Nothobranchius furzeri: one gene and its partners. The main gene of each other region encodes a partner of the protein of the gene in region 2 in a complex. Links are inferred from orthologs where the notes say so. Each region holds a gene or a part of one and is shown on either strand. Other genes may lie near its edges.

Evidence for each region.
Region 1: cnot10 (region 2) and cnot6l share a complex: the UniProt entries of both Homo sapiens proteins name them as parts of the CCR4-NOT complex. The link is inferred for Nothobranchius furzeri from reciprocal best matches to the Homo sapiens genes CNOT10 and CNOT6L.
Region 3: cnot10 (region 2) and cnot2 share a complex: the UniProt entries of both Homo sapiens proteins name them as parts of the CCR4-NOT complex. The link is inferred for Nothobranchius furzeri from reciprocal best matches to the Homo sapiens genes CNOT10 and CNOT2.
Region 4: cnot10 (region 2) and cnot11 share a complex: the UniProt entries of both Homo sapiens proteins name them as parts of the CCR4-NOT complex. The link is inferred for Nothobranchius furzeri from reciprocal best matches to the Homo sapiens genes CNOT10 and CNOT11.
Region 5: cnot10 (region 2) and cnot6a share a complex: the UniProt entries of both Homo sapiens proteins name them as parts of the CCR4-NOT complex. The link is inferred for Nothobranchius furzeri from reciprocal best matches to the Homo sapiens genes CNOT10 and CNOT6.

Annotation. Positions count from the first base shown.
Region 1 is NC_091750.1:40,065,547-40,069,772, reverse strand, and holds the start of cnot6l (CCR4-NOT transcription complex subunit 6-like), read right to left. Parts: upstream 2,808-4,226; 5' UTR 2,678-2,807; intron 1,684-2,677; 5' UTR 1,674-1,683; coding exon 1,562-1,673; intron 1,421-1,561; coding exon 1,234-1,420; intron 1-1,233. Other genes in the region: mrpl1 (large ribosomal subunit protein uL1m), read left to right, coding at 3,313-3,343. UniProt on the Homo sapiens protein: Has 3'-5' poly(A) exoribonuclease activity for synthetic poly(A) RNA substrate.
Region 2 is NC_091745.1:58,557,411-58,561,440, forward strand, and holds the start of cnot10 (CCR4-NOT transcription complex subunit 10), read right to left. Parts: upstream 2,806-4,030; 5' UTR 2,640-2,805; coding exon 2,624-2,639; intron 2,128-2,623; coding exon 2,042-2,127; intron 885-2,041; coding exon 723-884; intron 640-722; coding exon 489-639; intron 1-488. UniProt on the Homo sapiens protein: Component of the CCR4-NOT complex which is one of the major cellular mRNA deadenylases and is linked to various cellular processes including bulk mRNA degradation, miRNA-mediated repression, translational repression during translational initiation and general transcription regulation.
Region 3 is NC_091744.1:77,738,545-77,742,517, forward strand, and holds the start of cnot2 (CCR4-NOT transcription complex subunit 2), read left to right. Parts: upstream 1-1,169; 5' UTR 1,170-1,274; intron 1,275-1,359; exon of another isoform or gene 1,360-1,492; intron 1,493-2,654; 5' UTR 2,655-2,666; coding exon 2,667-2,780; intron 2,781-2,868; coding exon 2,869-2,938; intron 2,939-3,092; coding exon 3,093-3,240; intron 3,241-3,309; coding exon 3,310-3,492; intron 3,493-3,574; coding exon 3,575-3,654; intron 3,655-3,917; coding exon 3,918-3,973. UniProt on the Homo sapiens protein: Component of the CCR4-NOT complex which is one of the major cellular mRNA deadenylases and is linked to various cellular processes including bulk mRNA degradation, miRNA-mediated repression, translational repression during translational initiation and general transcription regulation.
Region 4 is NC_091754.1:35,255,064-35,259,226, reverse strand, and holds the start of cnot11 (CCR4-NOT transcription complex subunit 11), read right to left. Parts: upstream 2,807-4,163; 5' UTR 2,616-2,806; coding exon 2,297-2,615; intron 2,073-2,296; coding exon 1,908-2,072; intron 60-1,907; coding exon 1-59. UniProt on the Homo sapiens protein: Component of the CCR4-NOT complex which is one of the major cellular mRNA deadenylases and is linked to various cellular processes including bulk mRNA degradation, miRNA-mediated repression, translational repression during translational initiation and general transcription regulation.
Region 5 is NC_091741.1:95,565,311-95,568,823, reverse strand, and holds part of cnot6a (CCR4-NOT transcription complex subunit 6a), read left to right. Parts: intron 1-1,761; coding exon 1,762-1,919; intron 1,920-3,513. UniProt on the Homo sapiens protein: Poly(A) nuclease with 3'-5' RNase activity.

The DNA of each region.
Region 1 (4,226 bases), on a different chromosome or scaffold from region 2:
TGAATTATAATGTCGTTTTGCTGATTTAGAAGTTCTTGCAGAACTTGAGTCCAGACTTCAAACATCTGTTTATGACGTGTTATTCATCATTTTTAACTTGTTCATTTAAAACCATTTTCATCCGCTCATACGGAGTCGGGTCGCGGGGCAGCAGCCCGAGTCGGGAGGCCCACACTGCCCTCTCCCGAGCCACTTGCCCACCTACTGAACTTCTCTGGAATTGATAAGGAACTGGATCGATGGACAGAATCGACAAGGTTGTTGTTATTGATAAAAACTGATCAAATCCCACCGCTAGATACACATGCCCGAAAAACCTCACCAGGAGGCGTCCTGACCAGGCGCCCGAGCCACCTCAGCTGGCTGGGGAGGGTGTGTGCGTGCATGTGTGTGTGCACGCGCGTGCATGTGTGTGTGTATGTGTGTGTTTGCGTGCGTGTGTGTGTGTGTATGTGTGTCTGTGCATGTGTGTGTGAGTGCGTGCGTGCGTATGTGTGTCTATGTGTGTGTATGTGTGTCTGTGCATGTGTGTGTGTGTATGTGCATGTGTGCGTATGTGTGTGTATGTATGTCTGTGCATGTGTGTGTGTGTGCATGTGTGTGTGTCTATGTGTATGTATGCAGAGACACACAGACACACACACAGACACACACTGCAGCACTCCCCACGTCCGTCCTTACAGACAGGTGTGTGTGTGTGTGTGTGTCTGTGCATGTGTGCATGTGCATGTGTGCGTATGTGTGTGTATGTATGTCTGTGCATGTGTGTGTGAGTGCGTGCGTATGTGTGTGTATGTGTGTCTGTGCATGTGTGTGTGTGCATGTGCATGTGTGCGTATGTGTGTGTATGTATGTCTGTGCATGTGTGTGTGTGTGTGCATGTGTGTGTGTGTGTGTGCATGTGTGTGTGTCTATGTGTATGTATGCACAGACACACACACACACACACACACTGCAGCACCCCCCACGTCCGTCCTTACAGACAGGTGTGTGTGTGCGTATGTGTGTGTGCGTGCGTGTGTGTGTGTGTGTGTGTGTGTGTGTGTACGCACACGTGGGAGGGTCTCACCTTTCTCACCCTTGACCTGTGTTCATGTCTGACTGGTTTAATCACCTGATTCAGGGTTTTAAATGACCGCTTTAGCATCAGTTCGGTTGAAACTGTCGGACACGACGGACGACCCCACCCACACTGCAGCTGAGTTAAAGGTCAGGGGTCAGAACTCCACCCACCTGAGAGTAACCATGTTGCCCAGTTCGGCGGGCAGACTTCGGAGCTTATTGGATGACAGGTTCAGGTAGACCAGGTTGGGCAGCTTGGCGATGTCCGGTGGGATACGAGTCAGGTTGTTGTCGTTGATGTGGAGCGCCGTCAGGTGGGTGAGGGTCCATAACGAGCTGCTCAGGCTCCGCACCCTTCCTGTGTAGGTGGCGGAGCTTCATTTTACTAACATTTCTGAACACAGTGGGCCAAACTGACCCCGACACTGAAAACATGGACAAGACTTTCTCTGGATATAACGTCCAGAGTGTGTTTTACTGGAAGTAAATGCAGACTGACCAGAGATCTCCAGCTCAGCCCAGTGAGACTTCTTCCCACCAGCCGCCTCCTCAGCTGACATGATGGTGTAACATCTGCGGGGATCTAGGGGGTCATATTTCTCCTTTGGCATTCCTGTTAATCTGCAGGACAAACCAGGAGCACGAGTTATCGTGGCAATCGTAAAAGAAAACACCAACTTTTATTTCAAGCACTAAAAAAATGTGGAAAACAAGAGAAGAACAATTTATAAGAAACTCAAAGGTTTAAAAAAAAGCTCGAGGCGTTTTTTAGTTAATGATGACGGAAGCAAACTGCTCATTTTTCTCAGGAGGTTTCACCTGCTGAGGAGCAACAAAACCACTGAAACCAGAACAAACCAGCAGAACATTTGATCAGTGATTACAGTTTTAATCAGAAGTTATCCACATAAAGAAAAGTCATCCAGAGGACTTCCTGCACTTGTAGGATGATCGTCGTAGAACCTCATCTTTAAACGTTCCTGTGGATCTACAGCCTGATTACTTCAGAATGGTGAGTTACAGCAAATACGTTCAGGGCCTTTGGGTGAGGTGGGTTCAGGCGCAGCAGGTCACAAGTGTCTGCAGACACCATCACAACTCCAACAGGTCATGTTGCCTCAGGAGCTGAAAGAGGGCCGTGTGTGTGTGTGTGTGTGTGTGTGTGTGTGTGTGTGTGTGTGTGTGTGTGTGTGTGTGTGTGTGTGTGTGTGTGTGTGTGTGTGTGTGTTGGAAAGTATGCAGCAGTGACAACTGCTCAGGCAGCTGAGGGACGAGTGTCCAAACATAGCTGTGGTGTCAAAAGTGACAAGAGGACAGGCCCGCTCACCAGCTGCTGGCACACCTGACACCAAGGTAAACACGCGCTCCGATTCGACACCTTCCACGGATGTCAGCGACACATTTACCTATGCAGCAAAGACCGGTCACGGTAACCGACCAGCGCTCCCGAAGCACGGGGCTGGAGTAAGTCAGCCAGCGGCGGCTGGGCGCATGCTCCCCGGGCTCCAGGGGCTTAGGGTGGGGGACACGACCGGACAAGGACCGAGTCGGGCTCTAAGCTGGTTTAGCGCCGAGCCGCCCGGGCGAACCGGCTCTAGATACAAAACGTGTTTACCTTCATCCGGGGGCTGTAGAAGGGAACTGGCAGCGACATGCAGGCGCGGGTTCAACCCTGAACGTCTCGGAAACAGAAGGAAGAACAACAAACGCGGCTTCCGCTCGTTACCGACAGTCCAGAGCGCGGTCGTGCACGCGCCTACTAGCTTCTTAGCATAAATCCCAAACGAAACTTTACAAATATGCTCATTTATTAATTGTTAATAAGTGACACATATTACGCTAAAGTTTGATACTAAACATGTGAAGGACACGTGCTAGCTGGTTAAACTCGTCATCTGTGACGTGTAGCTGACGTCACTTTATTTGACAAAAACCCGATGCAAAAACCAGAGATTCGGCATTATTTTTATTTGTTTATCTTATGCTTGCAATTCATTCATTTTGCCACTTTACACGATTTTAACATCAACATTTACTTCTAATCACACCTTAAAACAAATACTGAACTCGATCATTTAAATCAGTGAATCTTTAACATTAGATGAGATTTTAGAAACGTTTTTAAACGGTTTCCTGTAATGTAAACTGGTTAAGTTAGAGCCGACCTTTTAAAAATAAATATGTGTGTTTGTGCGGAACCATTGAGCGAACTGCTGTTTTTACACGGACAACGGACCACCAGAAGCAGACATGGCAACCTGCTCGCGGGCAGCTTGGAAAGGTCAGTGAAATTAGTTTCTCATCCAGGAAAAACGGTAAATTCATGAATGTTATTTTTTTGTTTCCGGTTGGGTTATTTTCTGTAGATTAGCGTTTTAGCTGCCCTGCTATCTGTTTCCGGTTAGTGTGTCCTGAGCCTAAACGCTCACAGAGGTTACGGAAACATGTTTTCCATCAACGTGTGGTTGCAAACTGGAGCCCCTCTGTTATGCTAATTAACTTTAGCTCACATCGTTTTCAGGAAGGTGAAAAAGTCTAACTTTTCTAGCGTCTTCTCCTGTGTTTACCCACCTGTCCGTCAGTCACATGTAACTACCATCATTTTGGCAAATATCCCACCTAGGCTCCCGTGTCTGTCTGAAACACAGGAGTCCTGATGGTTGAACCCCCCTCTGTCCGTGCGGCTCGCGCTGCTTTTTACACCTTTAGTGGTGTTGGACACGTGTTTACGGTGGGTTAACCGGGGTTAATGGTCAAACCAGTTGTTACCTGTAACCCTACTCCTCCGGTGTGGCCCTGGCCACCCTTTTGGGGAGCCACTGCTATTATTGTAACCTCCAACCACTAAAAACAACAAATAAAGGAAACATGTGTTTCCAGAACTATGCAGCGTACAGTAAGAGACACGAACGTACTGCGTACATCTGGTATTGAACACACACACTGAGTATTGCATTGGTGGTGTTGTGTACCAGGATAATGCCAGTACCAGTTAAACTGGGGAATCCTACACTTGCTGCTGAGGGGATGAATGACCTACGGTAGCGTTCAGTTCTACATCTGGGATGCCTGTAAAGGAGCTGTCCATGGTCTCCACAGTGGGGGCGGGGAGGGGCTTTTTAAGGGGGAGGTCATCTTCCCCAGCATCCTCCTTTCACACCTCT
Region 2 (4,030 bases):
GGGTCATACCAGACATGAGGTGGCCCAGCAAGAGTGACCATTGTTACTAAATGGGTGTTTCAAAGCAAATAAATCATAAATCGTCTTTTCTCCACATTCATTCCTCAAGGTGTTAACAACAACAACAACAACAACAAAACGTAAACTGTAAAAAAAACCTACAAGTGAACTTCTTTAATTTTCACCAGAGAACAAAGTGGCTAAGGCTCGTTCTAAACTAAACAAGATTTATAATATAGTAAAAATCACTATCACAGATCACTATCAGATGTCGGAGTCACAGCTGCCTTCGTTTACAAACTTAAGGAGGACACCACAGACTTCTCCGCGCATCTTTTGCTATCCACGTGCTTTGAGATTTTGGTAATCCTGAGAAGTGTGTGTGTGAACAAAACGGTGTGTGATCCAGACTGACGCCACCCAGCCTGGACAGGGCCTGATGTGAAAGCAGCATTGGCAACCAACCTTCACACAACAGGAAAACTTACCAAATGGTTCAAGGAACTGGTAGAGCTTCTCTCCTATGGAGATGGCCTCCGAGTACTGTCGCATATGATAGAGGATGATGGCTTGGTTATAATACAACAAACAGTTCTCTACATCATCCAACCCATCACTATCATCAGCTGATGTGTGGAGCTGAAAGATAAAGAGTCCAGGAAAACGTCAAGGCAAACATGAAAGTGTTCAAAGCAAAAATCTAAAACCAGATCTGCACCTACCCGGTTTTTCATCGCCATCAGGGTTTGCTTGAGTGTCCCTGAAGTGGTCTGACCACTTCTGAAGAACTCTACCACAGCTTTATTCATGGCGATCTTGTAGTCCTCTTTATTTACATCCTGCAGAGCTTCAAGGTGTTTGAGAGACTCATCATATTTCCCAGCCTGAGGAGCACAGAAGTTCATTTCACAAATCTGTAGCACACACAAAGTATTTCAAGCAACACTTGAGGGTTTATAACAGCTTAAAGCTATTGTTTTCAAACTGGTTTCAATGCTTCTTGAGCCAGAAACTTGAGGAACTTCACATTGGACAGCACTCTGTAGACCTCTGCTAACCAAAAACAGTTTTGTGGCTAAAGCTAGTGGTCTCCACATGCACTATGGCAGCAGCTGTTTGCTGAGTCGGTAGCTAATATTAAAGCTAGCTGTTAGCTTTGAAGACCAATATAGAGACCAAAAATTATTTTTCTTCGTTTGTTGGCATCATGATGGAGCCTGGGAGTTAAGGAAGAGCTTTGGAGGTGAAGCAAAGAGCTACACTCATTTGAAGGAGCTATAGGGCCTTACGAAACCACAAACCAATGATGACCTGGCTTTGTTGCTACTGGACTGGTATGTAATAAAATTTTATGGTCCAACAGTGTGAACCTTTTTACTTTGTTGCTTATTTTAGTATCAGTTGGCTCATGTTAGCATTAGCTAGTTGTTAGCAGGTTGCAGCAGGGTTGTTTACGACAGTTGTAATTCTTATGTCAACCAGTAGGGGAATGCAGGAAACTTATTAAGTGTTGTTTTAAGTTTCCTTTTATTCCTCTTAAAATTATTCTTTAAAATACACAAATCAAAAATGTAAAGTATTAAAAAAATCGACCCAGCTACAAGAGAAGCACAAACCAGCTGGTGACTGCAACCTGCAGATACTCAGTGTGATCAGTTATCCATAGCTCTTTGGGAAAATCAGTATTGGCAGATGTCTGTGGATCACAGCAGCACATGAATCAGAAATCATTATCAGCCCTAAAAACCAGAACGGGTGCATCTCTAGTGGTAACTTCTAAGCTATACCTGCACTTGCACTGCACCTGTACTTTGAACAGCCTCAATGTGGAGAAACAGGAATTGGTTCTGATCAGATTCACAAGCTAACACCTGGTCTCTAGATTACAGCTACAAAGTCATTTCAAACCTTTCGGATCCAACATTTCAGAGCAGTGTAAGAGAAAGTTATTTATAACCTTTATAGTCAAAAAGTTCAGTAAGCCATCAGGTGAGATCATTGCTCACAGAGAGAGAGAGTGTGTGTGTATGTAAACAGTTACCACAAAAGCTTCATATGCACTTGCTGCGATTTCCTTCTCTCGGTTTGTCATCCCGCTGGAAGGCGAGCTCTCATACTCCGTTTGTTCTGATCAGAATGAGAAGACGAGGATTAAGTCAAACTGTGCAGTCTGCAGGCTCCTGCATCCCTGCTACTGTTCATCAGCTGGACTCCCCGTTACTCTGGTAGTTATGATGTTTACATGTCCTTTACTGGTCAAAACAAGAGCGCCTACAAACAGCCGCGGCTGACTTGGCGAGGATACAGAACCCAAAAACCTAAAACAGTTTTTTTTTATTCTGGAATAATTCTGATGACGTTTTAAACTCGGAGGCTGTGAGTAGTGACAGCCTGGCATCAGGCTGACAAGGTTATGTGGTCACCTGGCATTTTCAGAGGACTACGTGTTCAAAATCAGAAACTTTATTTAAGTTTTAATAAGAAAACGGGCCTATCGTCTCTGCAGCTCAGTCACAACATAAAGATCACTTCAATCTGCCTCCAACAAACCCGTCTCAACGAGTCAAAAATGCTACATTTAGCCTCACGTCGCTATTTAGCTAGCAAAATCTCTAAAACTTACCAGTATTTTCTGACATTTGTGATGATTTTAGGAACGAGAACTTTCGTTTCTCCTAAAGCAGATTCCGATTAAACTGCGCTGGGTAGAGAAGCGAGAATTAAATAATGAGAAAATACTCGATAACTGACATTAAACATACAAAATGGCTAGCCGATATGTCTGTTACGCTCCAGTAAATTCTTCGCTGGCTATATTTAAGCAGCTGATGGGAGCTCAGTAGCGCCCCCTTTTACCCGGGAGGACTCATGGGTTTTGAACCCAGACTGACATTTCAAATACCATAATTAAATGACATGTATTTCAACTCTTTCTCGGATTTTACTCGGTCAAATATTTCCTCGAAAAGTAAAAATAAATAAATGTTAACGTAAACTGCATCTTTTGCTCTGTAGGTCTTGAAACTGCCCCTTATCTCTTCAGCCATTCTGTTGGAGCATTAAGCATTGGAAGGGTGTTTCCTAATTCATTGTTATTATTTCATTGTTTTTTTGAGCATATTCTAGGTTATAACATATTAGATTAAAGTATAACCGATGGCTAAAATATTTGCACACAGTTGTAACAGCTATTGACAAAGTACTGTCTTTTATAAAGATCTAAAGCTGGTGTACGTACTTTAAAAATGTTAAATAAACTTAAAAATGCTTAAAGGGATACTTTATAATTATTTCATATTTCCTTGAGCCACTGTGTGCTAAAATGACCATTTACAAAGTTAATTAAAAGTCACTTAGACCCCTACCGCCCTCTGTGGCCAGAATACAGCATTTGCAACTTCAGAGTGCCTGTTGGAAAAGAAAATTGAGCTGACATACCTGGTGCTGCAGTCTAGTTTCAGCAAGTTTCCTGCATGTTTACGTCATGAACACAGCTGATTTGTTTAATTTAGTGATGAATCACCCCTTTAGACACTAAGGAAGACTGGAGAGGCATTTCAGCTGTTAGATTAAGGTGTTAAAAAGATGAACACACAGTGAGGAGATAGATTTTGCTTTCAGTTCTACAAATGGACACTAGGCAGTGCTAAAAGCATGTCAAAACTGCCTATTATTAACGGTCTGACCCTATTCTATGTAATACAGTTGGTCATGTTTCAGAATTTATATTTCCACTAAGTCCCTCCCCTGGCTTCTACAGCTAAGTAAATACTTTATACAAACTTAGAGCTTTGACTTATAGAGCTCCAGGAGTTGACGTCACTTCTCCCGGCATGCAACGGTTCAAATCGAACGGCGCCATCTTGGCAGGCAGAAGCCCGCAGCTAGGCTATTTGTTATTGTCAGGAAACTCAATGAAACTGGAAATATGGTAGATTCCTGTTGTGCCCCAGGATGCCAGAACAGACGTGGACAAGATAAGGGATGAGCCTTCTACAGGATTCCCCAAGATCCAGAACGCCACAAACGT
Region 3 (3,973 bases), on a different chromosome or scaffold from region 2:
TGAAACGTGCAACTTCTGTAAACACCAGGAATCATCAACATCTACAACTGAAAGATAATTCTGTTTCTAACCCTAATTAGATGTTAATTTCCTGCAACAATGCTTGCGTTTTTAACATAATAAGGCTTTATTAATTTGGGCGAATTAGAAAAGCATAAAATCTATGATTAAACAAATGTCTAAAAGGCCTGTAAATCTTCCTTAATTTTTTTTTCAATTCAATTCTTTATTTCACTCAAAGTTTAAATATACAAAATATACAAACTTCAAATCAGAATATAAGCATTCAAGTGAAATAATTTAATAATAACCTTTCTTTATTCTTTATTTATACTTACATAAGGTGTAATACTTTGAGGTGTTTAGAGTTTATCTGATTTAATTATTTGGCAAAACAATGAATTAATACATTATATAGTGTTTTAGAGACGTTCTTGTTCAGAACTATGCAGCTCTTTTATTGTCCAAAGTGGGAGTGAGGTAATAAACTATTAGTTCAACAGTAATGATTTTTACTGCATTTAACAACAAAAATAAATTAGTTTTTAGGGGGAAAAATTGTCAACAAGCAGCTGAGAATTATTAGGGCAAAAAAGACTAAAACTCAGAGTTGTTCAGATATAAAACACAATTCTCAAATAATGTAGTTTATAATGTTTAGTTCAAGTATCTGTTTAAATAATAGATTTATAAACCAAAGGATGGGAAAAAGGCCAAGAGGGAGAAACTTCTTCTTTCCCTATATGTGTGAGTGAGGATTTAATGAGACTTCAGGGTAAAAGAAACCTTTCTTTTCTTTTATAACTGATTACATTTTTGGTCAAAATGAGTCAAATGCAATTAAATTACAAACACGTGCAATTTTGCAAGAAGGTGAAAAAGGAATACCGATAATCACACATAATTTTATTACAGATGGCTCTATTTGTTAATTTTTTTTTACTTTATATGCTATTTTAAAGGTTAAATTAACATTTCACTCTAATTGTAACAGAAAACACATCACAGTCAAATCCAGTATTTGTATTTTTTTCTTTTTTTCCCTGTAAAATCTTCATCATTATTAGAATATTTGTGATTTTAGATGCGATCGCTCGTTGAAGACATAGATATATATAAACGTATGTTCATTTACATGTGTATGGTTGAGGACACCAGCAGCCGGCTCGGGTTTGTGTACGGAAGTGGTCAGCAGGGTCAGAGGGTAAAGGCTCTTTCCACTGGAAGTACACACAGCCATCTTGGATCTAACGAAGCGAAGGGAAATTGATGCGGTGAGCCTATTTTACTTATTATCAGTCTTGTCGGATGGTGTTGTATAAACGTGACCTCTCGACTGGAGCTTTGAGCTGGGTTTCTCTCGTTTTGATCCGTGGCAGCTCGTTAGCCTTTAGCATCAGCGGGTTGCTAACGCTGCAGGTGCTTGCAAACGGAGCGTAGCCGATAACACGGACAACTGACTGTAGATATAGAAACACAGAGACTATTGCAGGTAAATACAGACTGCTGCTGGATCGTTAAATCGTGGTGATTTGTAACGTAAACGCTTCCACTATTCTCACGGTTAAAGTGGCTCGTTCACAAACTGAAACTAAGCTAACAAAACACCTAGCATGTTAACGTTAGCTACTTAGTTTCGGCTAACTAACATGTTAGCATTGCTGTTATAGTTTTCACTCCCACTAAGTTTTCATGAATATTACAACAAATTCAGCTGTCAAATGAAAGTTAATAACCACCTGGGCTAAAAACTAAACTATTGTTTAATTTCTCCAACATTTATATATGTCAGTGTTTTTCAAATGTCATCTATGTAATAAATTAGATTTGAGGACAATTTCGTAAACCTTTCTGAATTTTCTTATTGAACATTAATTGCTTTTTCACTCATAATCCACCTAGCCTTATTGAGTCGGCGTAGTTGATCACTTTCCGTTAATTATTGTTTGTTTTTGAGCCACATCTGTCTCCGTGTCCCATCAAAACGAAACAGTTTTCTATATTTTGTATTTAAGATCTTCAAAAATGATCAAGATGGCAGTTTAAATTTATATTTGAATTCCTCCTAAGCGATTCCCAGCCTCCTATTAGTTGAAAAGTTCTTATTTATAAAAAGACGTGACTTTTGGACGTTAGTTATCAGGTGTAGATTTTAAGCCTTGAGATTTATTTCTACTCAGCTTCTCTTGTTTTTTAGTGTAATGGTCATGTAAGAAAAAAAATACTGGGAAAAATAATAAAAATCTAAAGCCAAACTTTGAAAAACTTCACAAAAAGTTGAAAGACTGTTCTTCAAAAGCACATGTAAAAGGTTAATGGAAAGTCTGCCACAGCCTAACAGGAAACATACTTGTTTTGTGGTGGTTTCTGCTTAAAATTAATTTTCTGTTTGTTTTGTGATGTTGTGATTTGAAAACCTAAGTGTGTCTGAAAAGCTGAGTATTATTTACCACAGTCTTCTGGGCTGGAGCAGCGCCCAAGTTGCCGTGGCTTGCCAGAGAAAGAGATCGACAAACAGGGCTCAGGAATATCTTAAAAAATGAGTTTGAGAAGTTAATCTGGCCTCCAAACTCCAGTTGTTAATTCGATGATCTTGTCTCATTTATTTTGCCCCCTTTAGTCTCCACCTTTACTAAAGTTCCCTCATTCTTTAGGTGACAAAAGGCATGTTTGGTGCTAGAAAGAAATTTCCAGAGTTCGTCGAGGCCGTCGACAATGACTTCCCAGATGAAATGTATTACAGCCAGGGGTCGATGTTCCCACATCGATCCGACAAAGATGTAAGTCTCGTCATATTTCTGTGTGGTCATGTTATCTGATGGGGAGTTTTTCTGATTATTTTTCTTGTTTGTGAATCTTATTGTCCAGATACTGTCTTCTCCTTCACCGTCGTCTGGTCAGCTGTCACAGCTCGGTCCAAGTTTGTACGGTCCACAAAGTTAGTATTTGCTGTTCTATTTGTACCACAGAATGAACTAGTTTCACATTTGTTACAGATCAGTAGTAGACGTGGACTGATCATACAATGCAAAGAATTCTGTCTGGATTATTTAATATTATTTTGGATTAACTTGGTTCTTTTTTTTGTCCAGGTGCAATTGGCTTCCCCGTTAGAAGCTTGGGAAACAGCACACCTCAGTTAAACCGAAATCTCACGCAAGGGTCGCAGCTACCAAGTCATATCACCCCAACAACAGGCGTCCCCACCATGTCACTCCATACCCCGCCGTCGCCGAGCAGGTTTGTGTTTCTGCTACTAATAATTGTAAAATTGCAACAAAATGTTCATTCTTAAATGTGTTTTTGCAGAGGCACGTTACCGATGAGTTCCAGGAACATACTAAATCACTCTCAGGTTGGTCAAGGCATCGGGCTGAGCAGCAGGACCAATAGTATGAGCAGCTCAGGACTCGGGAGCCCCAACCGCAGCTCACCTAGCATCATCTGTATGCCCAAACAGCAGCCGTCACGTCAGCTGTGCACCATAAGCAGGTAGATTTTAAAATCCTTACGTTTATCAACATCCCTCTGTGGACACCGGCTGAAGAACCGGTCTTTTATCTTCTCCGTGCAGCATGTCAGGGTTTGGTATGAACCGCAATCAGGCGTTTGGGATGAACAACGCGTTAGCAAGCAACATCTTCAACGGCACAGGTGGGTAGTTTCTTTTGAATTTCGAAAGGCTGCAAAGTGTCACGGAGCTTCATGTTGCAGTGGAGTTAGTGAACAACTGCTGGCTCTGCAGTAGAATGTGTTTATGTTAAAGTCTGGTTTTAAATCTGAGCAGCACAAAAATGAAAACAAAAGAATAAATGTATGCATTTTATCAATCTTAAAGACAAAATGTATGGTTTTTATTTGCTGCAGTAGCGATTAGTACGTATTACTATAGAGAGTGTGTTAACATGCTGTTGCAGATGGGAGCGACAGCGTGATGGGACTGGATCTGTCAGACTTCCCCGCATTAGCAGAC
Region 4 (4,163 bases), on a different chromosome or scaffold from region 2:
GTCATTCAGGATGCTGGGGAAGCTGGCTTTACTCTGAGTGGGAAGCTCCGACTGGCGCTCTGTTAGACCAAGGAGCAGACATGGAAACGGGTCAGGGGCTGAAGGTGAGAGCGACACGACCATCCTGGTACGAGCGTGTAATAACGTACGTAAACACGCTCACCATCAACCAATGTTCTCACCTGACTTACAAATGACGTGTTAAACATTAGCTCCTTGTTTGGAGCAGAACTATACACGACGTAATGGTGAGGTGCTTAAAGAGCGGACATGATGAACCAGGACAATGATGATAAATGACCCACACTTATTTAGTGCCATGAGTCAGAGGACTCCAAAGCGCTTTACACTACAGTGCGTCATTCACACACACGTTCACACACTGATGGTGATGAGCTACAGTGTAGCTACAGCTACCCGGGCGGTGAGCCGGGACAACCCTCTGATTACTGGACAACCCGCTCTACTTCCATGTAACATGTTTTATACGTGTTTTGTGCTCGATCAGCGCCTCAACTCGAAACGCATCCAGCTCCTGGTTTTATTTCAGCGGCTCTGGCCCACAGTTGCTTGTTTGCAATTCCTTTTCTGATGCTGGTGTAGGTATCAGATCCGCTCAGGGACCTGCGCCTGTTGATGACATCACACCACAGCAACACCACTGGAACAAACTACATTGCAACTCATTCTTTAACTACCTAAGTGCTAAAAACAACAACAGACTCTACCAACAAAACAGCTCATATATGTGATTGTTTTACACTGTATTATTAACACCTGCAGCTGTTGGTGTTGAATTCTTCTACTTCATTTGTTTGTATCCTGTTCATGTGCTGCAAACTGTCCAGGTGTCATCTATGTTTATGTCTATGGTGTGTGTGTGTGTGCTGCAGCACACGATCACTGTGAAAGCAGGGAGAGGGATGCCCAAAATGCCTGGGACAATTATTACATTAACTGATGGGACCTGTCACTGATTAGTTTAGAGATAAGTTTCTCAGGCTGATAAAAAATAAATCATCTCTGAGTGACGCGCCGCTGCCGTACACTCTCCCACAGCACCGCTGGAGGGGACTAAATAACCATTATGCAACATATGTGGGCGACGGTGGCACAGGAGTTAAGTGCTTGCCCCATAACTGGAAGGTTGCAGGTTCGAGCCCCGCTCAGTTTGTTGCTGTCGTTGTGTCCTTGGGCAAGACACTTAACCCCCCTTGCCTGCTGGTGGTGGTCGGAGGCACCGTGGCACCAGTGCTCGGCAGCCTCGCCTCTGTCAGTGCGCCCCAGGGCAGCTGTGGCTACGTCGTAGCTCATCCCCACCAGTGTGTGAATGGGTGAATGACTGATGGCGTTGTAAAGCGCCTTGGACTCCCAGGACTCTAGAAGGCACTATATCAAATACAGGCCATATTTTTACCATATGTTTCGATTTATTTTAGATTATAAGTGCACCGTATAACTCTTAGTCAGTATTTGCAAAATATTTATATCAAGTTGGTATTAAGTAGGCTTAAATAAGTTAAACCTCAGCCTGAACCGGGGGTAGGCAACCCGTTAGGTGGGTCTGGATGGAGCGAGTCTGGTCTCGAACGGGCGGTGTAGTGTTCACGTATAAATCCGAGCGACTTCTCAGGAACGCAGAAATCCCCGAGCCTGTGGGCGGTGATTAATACGCGCGGGAAAGTCCGCGGTGTCCTCCATAATAAGGTAAACAAAGGCGGGCACGAGCTGTGTTGCTTTTGGAGACTCTGAACCACATTAGTTTATTAATTTTCTGTGTGTGTCCTCATAATCTTATGCCACACACACACATATGCACACACTGCTTTCTCCCCTGAGCAGCTGTCTACTCACTGGGGCAAGAGCTCTGATGCAGAGGACAGGCACACACACACACACACCCCGACCTGCTAATGCGAGCTGCAGCCCACTGATGTCGATGGGCTGGGGCATGTTGGTGATGTCCATGCAGGACACCTGTCTGGGTGTTTTCTTGAAGAGGTCTCTGGGTGGTGCCAACATCAGCTGGGACAGGAAGAACTTCTCTGGCTGGGTGATAGGCGGCAGGAAGCCTGAACACAAAATCACCACAGGTAACAGGTGGGGCTGAATTCATCTCCTTAGATACGTAGATTTTCAGTAAATGTGCAGGAGCAGTATTAGCAACTTGTATTTCCTGCCATTCCTCTCATAGACGTATGGGACTCCATCATGGACTTTGATGTGTTTATATTTGTGTTACCAGTATACAATGGCAATGAATGGATTTCATTAATGCCGGATTATTTAGTCCTACCGGACAGCGCCTTCTCCTGCTCCTCTCCTGCCGGAGCCGGGTTCAGGACGTGGGCAAAGACAGCAGCGAACGGGTTGGCGGCCAGGGGCTCCGTCCGGTACATCTCCCACAGCAGGTAGAGGGCGGTGAGCCGCTGCGGGGAGCTGGGCAGCAGGTCCGGCTGCTGGAGAAGCATGACTAGCACCGAGCCCACCCGGAAGTGCTCTGCTTTGCCAAAGTAATGATGGAAGTGAGTGGAAAGAGTCTCGAAGGAGTTGGAGCAGGCCTCCTCCGAGATGATGCTCAGCAGGTTGGACAGTTCCTTCGGAGCTAGGCTCATCGTCTCCTCCGGTTCTGTTCAGCTGCGGGGAAGTTCTGCTCCGTTTTTAAAACTAGTTATTGTTGGAAAAATACCGGGACAAGACGTGCTAATCCATGGTTGTGAAGTGAATCAGAAAGTCAACGATATTAGCATCCTGGAGTTGTGTTAGCCTCCACTTAGCTTAGCTTAGCGTTTTCCAGGACTCAGCTTTTGGTCTGACTTATTTTCAACAATAATTGACTATTTAACAACAAAACAATCTTAACGAACAAGCAATTAGCGACAAAATAAACTCCAAAAGCAATATAAGTGCCTGTTATGGCTGTAAAAGTAGGTTCTTAATGTGCCGCACTACCCGTTTAAATTTCTTGTGACCTTTACCTCGAGGTGCACTGTGGGTAATGGAGTTTCCACGTGTTCCTTCGTCTGACCGAGCAGACTCTTCTCCGGCTGTTAAACATTATAGAGCTCTCCCTGCTGGAAGGAGTGCTCCAGTGCAGCCAGACCTCCTCCTCCTCCTCCTTCTACAGCCAGCCTGGTGGCTCATGGAAACCCAGACCTGATCTACAGCAGCAACCACCTGGACAGACAGATCCTCCAGGCCTTCAGGAGCTCCCAGTGGGTTTGAGAACTGGAACCTGTGGCGGCGGCATGGATCCCAGCTGCTTTACTTTACAGATTAATGAGATTTTCTTGTAAATGTTTGTGTTTATTTGTCGTTCTTTGGGATGACAAGTGGCTCTGTGCAGCTCTGGACTGTTTGGACTTCCTTCCTGACCAGCCGGTGGTGGAACTGAGCAGGGAGCTTCATTTCTGCTTCCTTCAAGAAAAGGAGAGCTGCGACCCAGAACCAGCAGGAGGAGGCAAGTCCTTCAGTCAAAAGAGTTGTGGCTTTGTTTTAAAAGCACAGCTATGATGCTTTTTACATTATAGTTATTAAAATCGATGCATTTGAGGAAATGAGTAAAACAAACGTAGGAAGTTAAATCCAAAGAAAATATGAAGCTCCAAGCTGTTGGCTAAAATAATAATTTTTATTAATGTTGCAGGTGATTTTTATATCATTCTGGTAGTGAAATGAAGGGAGGCTGTGATTATTTCCTATAAACCACACTCAGATGGGTAGCTATGTTCTTGTAACTAGGGATGTCCCCTTCCGATATTGGTATCGGATATCGGCCCAAAAAAACCGTATCAGATTATATCGGACTGCATCAAAAATCTCCAATATAAGCAGTCTGTTCTGCTTTAAATTCCATTACAGCAATTCTATCCAGCAGCGTCCAGATCCAGCGTGCAAAGTCCACGTGATCAGAAAAGTGTTTGCTAGCAAGGAGCAATGTCGGCCATCTGGCAGTAGTTTTTGTTAAAGTCCAAAAAAGACAGTTTGGCTCAGTGCAACACTTGTCATGCACAAGCTTCCAAAGATTGAACAGAACCGGGGAAGTTTTATACGTCGTCCCCCCTCGATGTGCATTTGAATCAGGATCACAAACCATTACGTGAGGATTTTCGCTGTGTGTAAAATTAAACTTTAGACCGGGGGTATGCGTTTCTGGGACAGGA
Region 5 (3,513 bases), on a different chromosome or scaffold from region 2:
TTCAACACAGTGCTCCAGAGTTGTTAAAAGAACTGAATAAAGCCAGTAAACAAGTGCGACCCCTAAGAAGCTACTGCATCCTTTAGTTGTACTCTAAAGCCCTTTTCAGACAGACATTCTGGAACATTTGCGGACAATTCAATCCGGTTTTTAACCGGAACTGTGTTTTCAGACACACCACTTTTGTACCGGAACTTGTCCTTTCGGCTGCGTTCACACAGCAGGGAAAAGTTCCAGATGTCTGACGGCGGCGGGGGGTGGTGGTGGTGGGGGGGTGATCGGACTCATGTTAAGAAGAAGAAGAAGAAGAAGAAGAAAATATCATTTCTACAGCGCCTCTCAAGATAAAAATCACGAGGCGCTTAAGCATAATTCTGCGCACACGAAGACGCATAAGAGACCTGGATGATGAAGCTCAATGGTTAAAGGAATCACTGAAGCGGTGTGAAGCGCTCCCTCGCGCGTCTAGACGGTACCGTAGGAGGCGAGCTGCCGTTGATCGCCGCATGCTACAGCAGCGGGCTATCTAGGTGCGCACAGCGTCCCCCGGTCCCCTCCTCCTCCCCCTCCCTCTTGTCCGGAACTTTACCTCACCAGTCTGAATCAGCCACCCTGTCCGTAACAAGTCCGGACCTGTTACTAGGGGCTTCGTCCGGATAAATTCCGGAACACATTATCCGGATGTTTGTATTCAGACAGAAAGGTCTTACGGACAGATTCCGGAACATTTCCGTTTTTCATGGCCTGTCTGAAGGGGGCTTAATGTTGAGTAAAGCAGGCTAGAGTTTATTATTGAGCTAACAATGCTAACGATGAATAAGGAGCAAATAGTCAGCTCAAAAATATCTCAAGCTACTTTTTCAATTACCAATAACTTGATGTTACAGTGAAATGTATGTGTGAAGTGAGTAATTGAGTTTTTCTTCCTTTAATGAGTTGCTCAGAACTTTTAACGGCAGGCTAACAGCAAGAATGCACACAACCACACTTCCTGTAATAACTGAAACAAACTACCATAATAAGTGTAGTAAGTGCTCCCTGCCATAAAACACCCAGGAATGCTAACACCAGATATGACAATGTATTCATCAACTTATCCACTTTCTGTGTATGACTCGTCTTCGCTCGTCATCTAGAATCTTCTGGTGCTCGTCATTAAACGGCAACAGCCATGAAACTCACAGAACGGCAGTGAGAACGTGATGTTTTTGCCAAAAAAATGAACCCCAGTACCCACATTTGTCCGCTAGATGTCATTCTTACAGATTGCACCTTTAAACATTCCTTCAGCCCCTCTTAAATGATTCTTCCAGACGCAGATAGAAAAGATGTCGGTGTGTAACTCCTTAAATTTGAAATATTTCCCCCAAAAATGATAACCTCCTTCTCCTACTACAAATATTTTGAAACTACAAATATTTTTTGATAATATATAGTATTTTGGTTTAAATATATATTGTACTGTTTGTAGTTTTAACCGTTTTCATTCTAAAACCAGCGACGTAGTGTGATCTCTGTAACTCTCGTGGTAAATGAGGACGCTGCACCGATGGGGTTTCATGATGAGTCGAAGTCTTTTTCCTGTGTTTTGGTTAACTCACTGCTACTGATGGGTGGAACTAGTAATTTCACCAAATAAAACCCATCTGATTATGATTTAATAACTAAAGCAAGACAACGCCTTAGAAGGGAGTGTTTAAGGTTGCTGTCAGCTTCAGAAACACGTGAACGAGTGAAATTTTTCCTGTCTGTGTTCCTTAGCTCTCTTCTCGGTCATGTGCTATAACGTGCTGTGTGATAAATACGCCACGAGGCAGCTCTATGGCTACTGCCCGACCTGGGCTCTAAACTGGGAGTACAGGAAGAAGTCCATCATGCAGGAAATCCTCGGCTGCAACGCAGACATCATCAGTTTGCAGGTAAGATAATATCCAAGAATTCATTAAGACTTTGTAACTAGGATTACAAGATGTTCATAATGTGATTTTTAGTCAAATAAATGTTTTATGGACAGTGTGTTGGCAAAACTGTGGCTTGTTTTGCAGCTGCTTGTATTGTAGAACGATTGATCAAAGTGTAATCATGTTCAGTTTGATCAGGGATCAAAGGTCAATATTGTTTTATTTGTGCTTTTTCTTTTTTTTTGGGGGGGGGGGGGGGGGGTCCATCAGTTTCATTACGTTGCCAAGAATCAGGATTGGTTCTTTTGTTTTGGTAAAAGCACTTTGGGTTTCGGATTTTTGACTGGTGAGGAGGGGGTTTCCTGGGGGGATTAGATGTTTTACACCATTTTTGTGTTTCAGTTCCTGTCTGGCCTAGGGTTGTCACGGTAACCGGTGTAGCGGTAAACCCCTGTAAAAAAAGTTGACAATAATGATAACCGTCTTGTTTTAAAAAAAACTATATTATCTCGGTGGATTACCGTGGCTGCGGTGTAGGCGCGGTGACCCTTACCAGCCACCGTATCATCTGCTGAAGTTGCCCGTGGGACATGCGCACTTTGTTGTTTACAACCAAAACTTTCTTGAAGCTAAAGCTGAAATAATGGCCAAAGGAGGAGACGGCAGCACTCAGGACATTTATTATCCCTCAAAGAAGACAAAGTCGGAAGTATGGGCATCTTTTGGATATTTGAAGAATGCTGAGAGACAGTTGATAGAAGACGGCTATCCGGCAGCAACACTTCAAATCTCATGACACATCTGCGTGACCATCACCCACAACGCTACAGTCAACGAAAGGCAAGCTAACGTTAGCGTTTTAGCTAAAATGTGTGATCCGAGGATTTGGGTTGAGGGAGAATGAAACGAGTCGCTATATAAAGCAGCCGCACCGCCGCTACCTGCATATAAACCGTGTCGCGGACACCGCCATATTGAAATGATGCTATGCATTACGGGGCTCCCAGGGGCAGATAAGAGTTGGTCTCTCTCCGAGAATAATTATGAATTTAACAACGATTACTGCCTGATGACATTTTCCCAAATCTGCAAAGCTCACTGGAAGGACACAAACCGAGGACAATATTTTCCTGATCTAGGGTTTATTACTCAAGTAAGGGTAAAAAGTATCTGATTAGAAGGCTACTTGAGTACTGAGTATCATCTGATCTAATATTTTTAAAATGATGACATCAAAAAGACATAAAATAAGAAGTTATGGGCAAATATTGGTATTTTCAAGACTAAAGGGGAAAAATGTAAACAAATAAACAACATAATTACAAAATAACACATTTTAGGCTAAATTTAGACACAAACTGAGGACAATATTTCCTGACATACAGGGTTTTATTTAATTGTGTGAAAATGTAGCACGTTTAAAAAAAAATACCGCAATAATACCGAAAACCGTGGTAATTTTGGTCACAATAACCGTGAGGTTAAATTTTCACACCGTGACAACCCTAGTCTGGCCTGGTATGAACTGCTGAGTTTGAAGCCTTCTCAAAGAATAGTGTGTAAAAAATAGAGTCGATGCACAAACAGCGTGTCCCTATGTTTCTGTGATGCT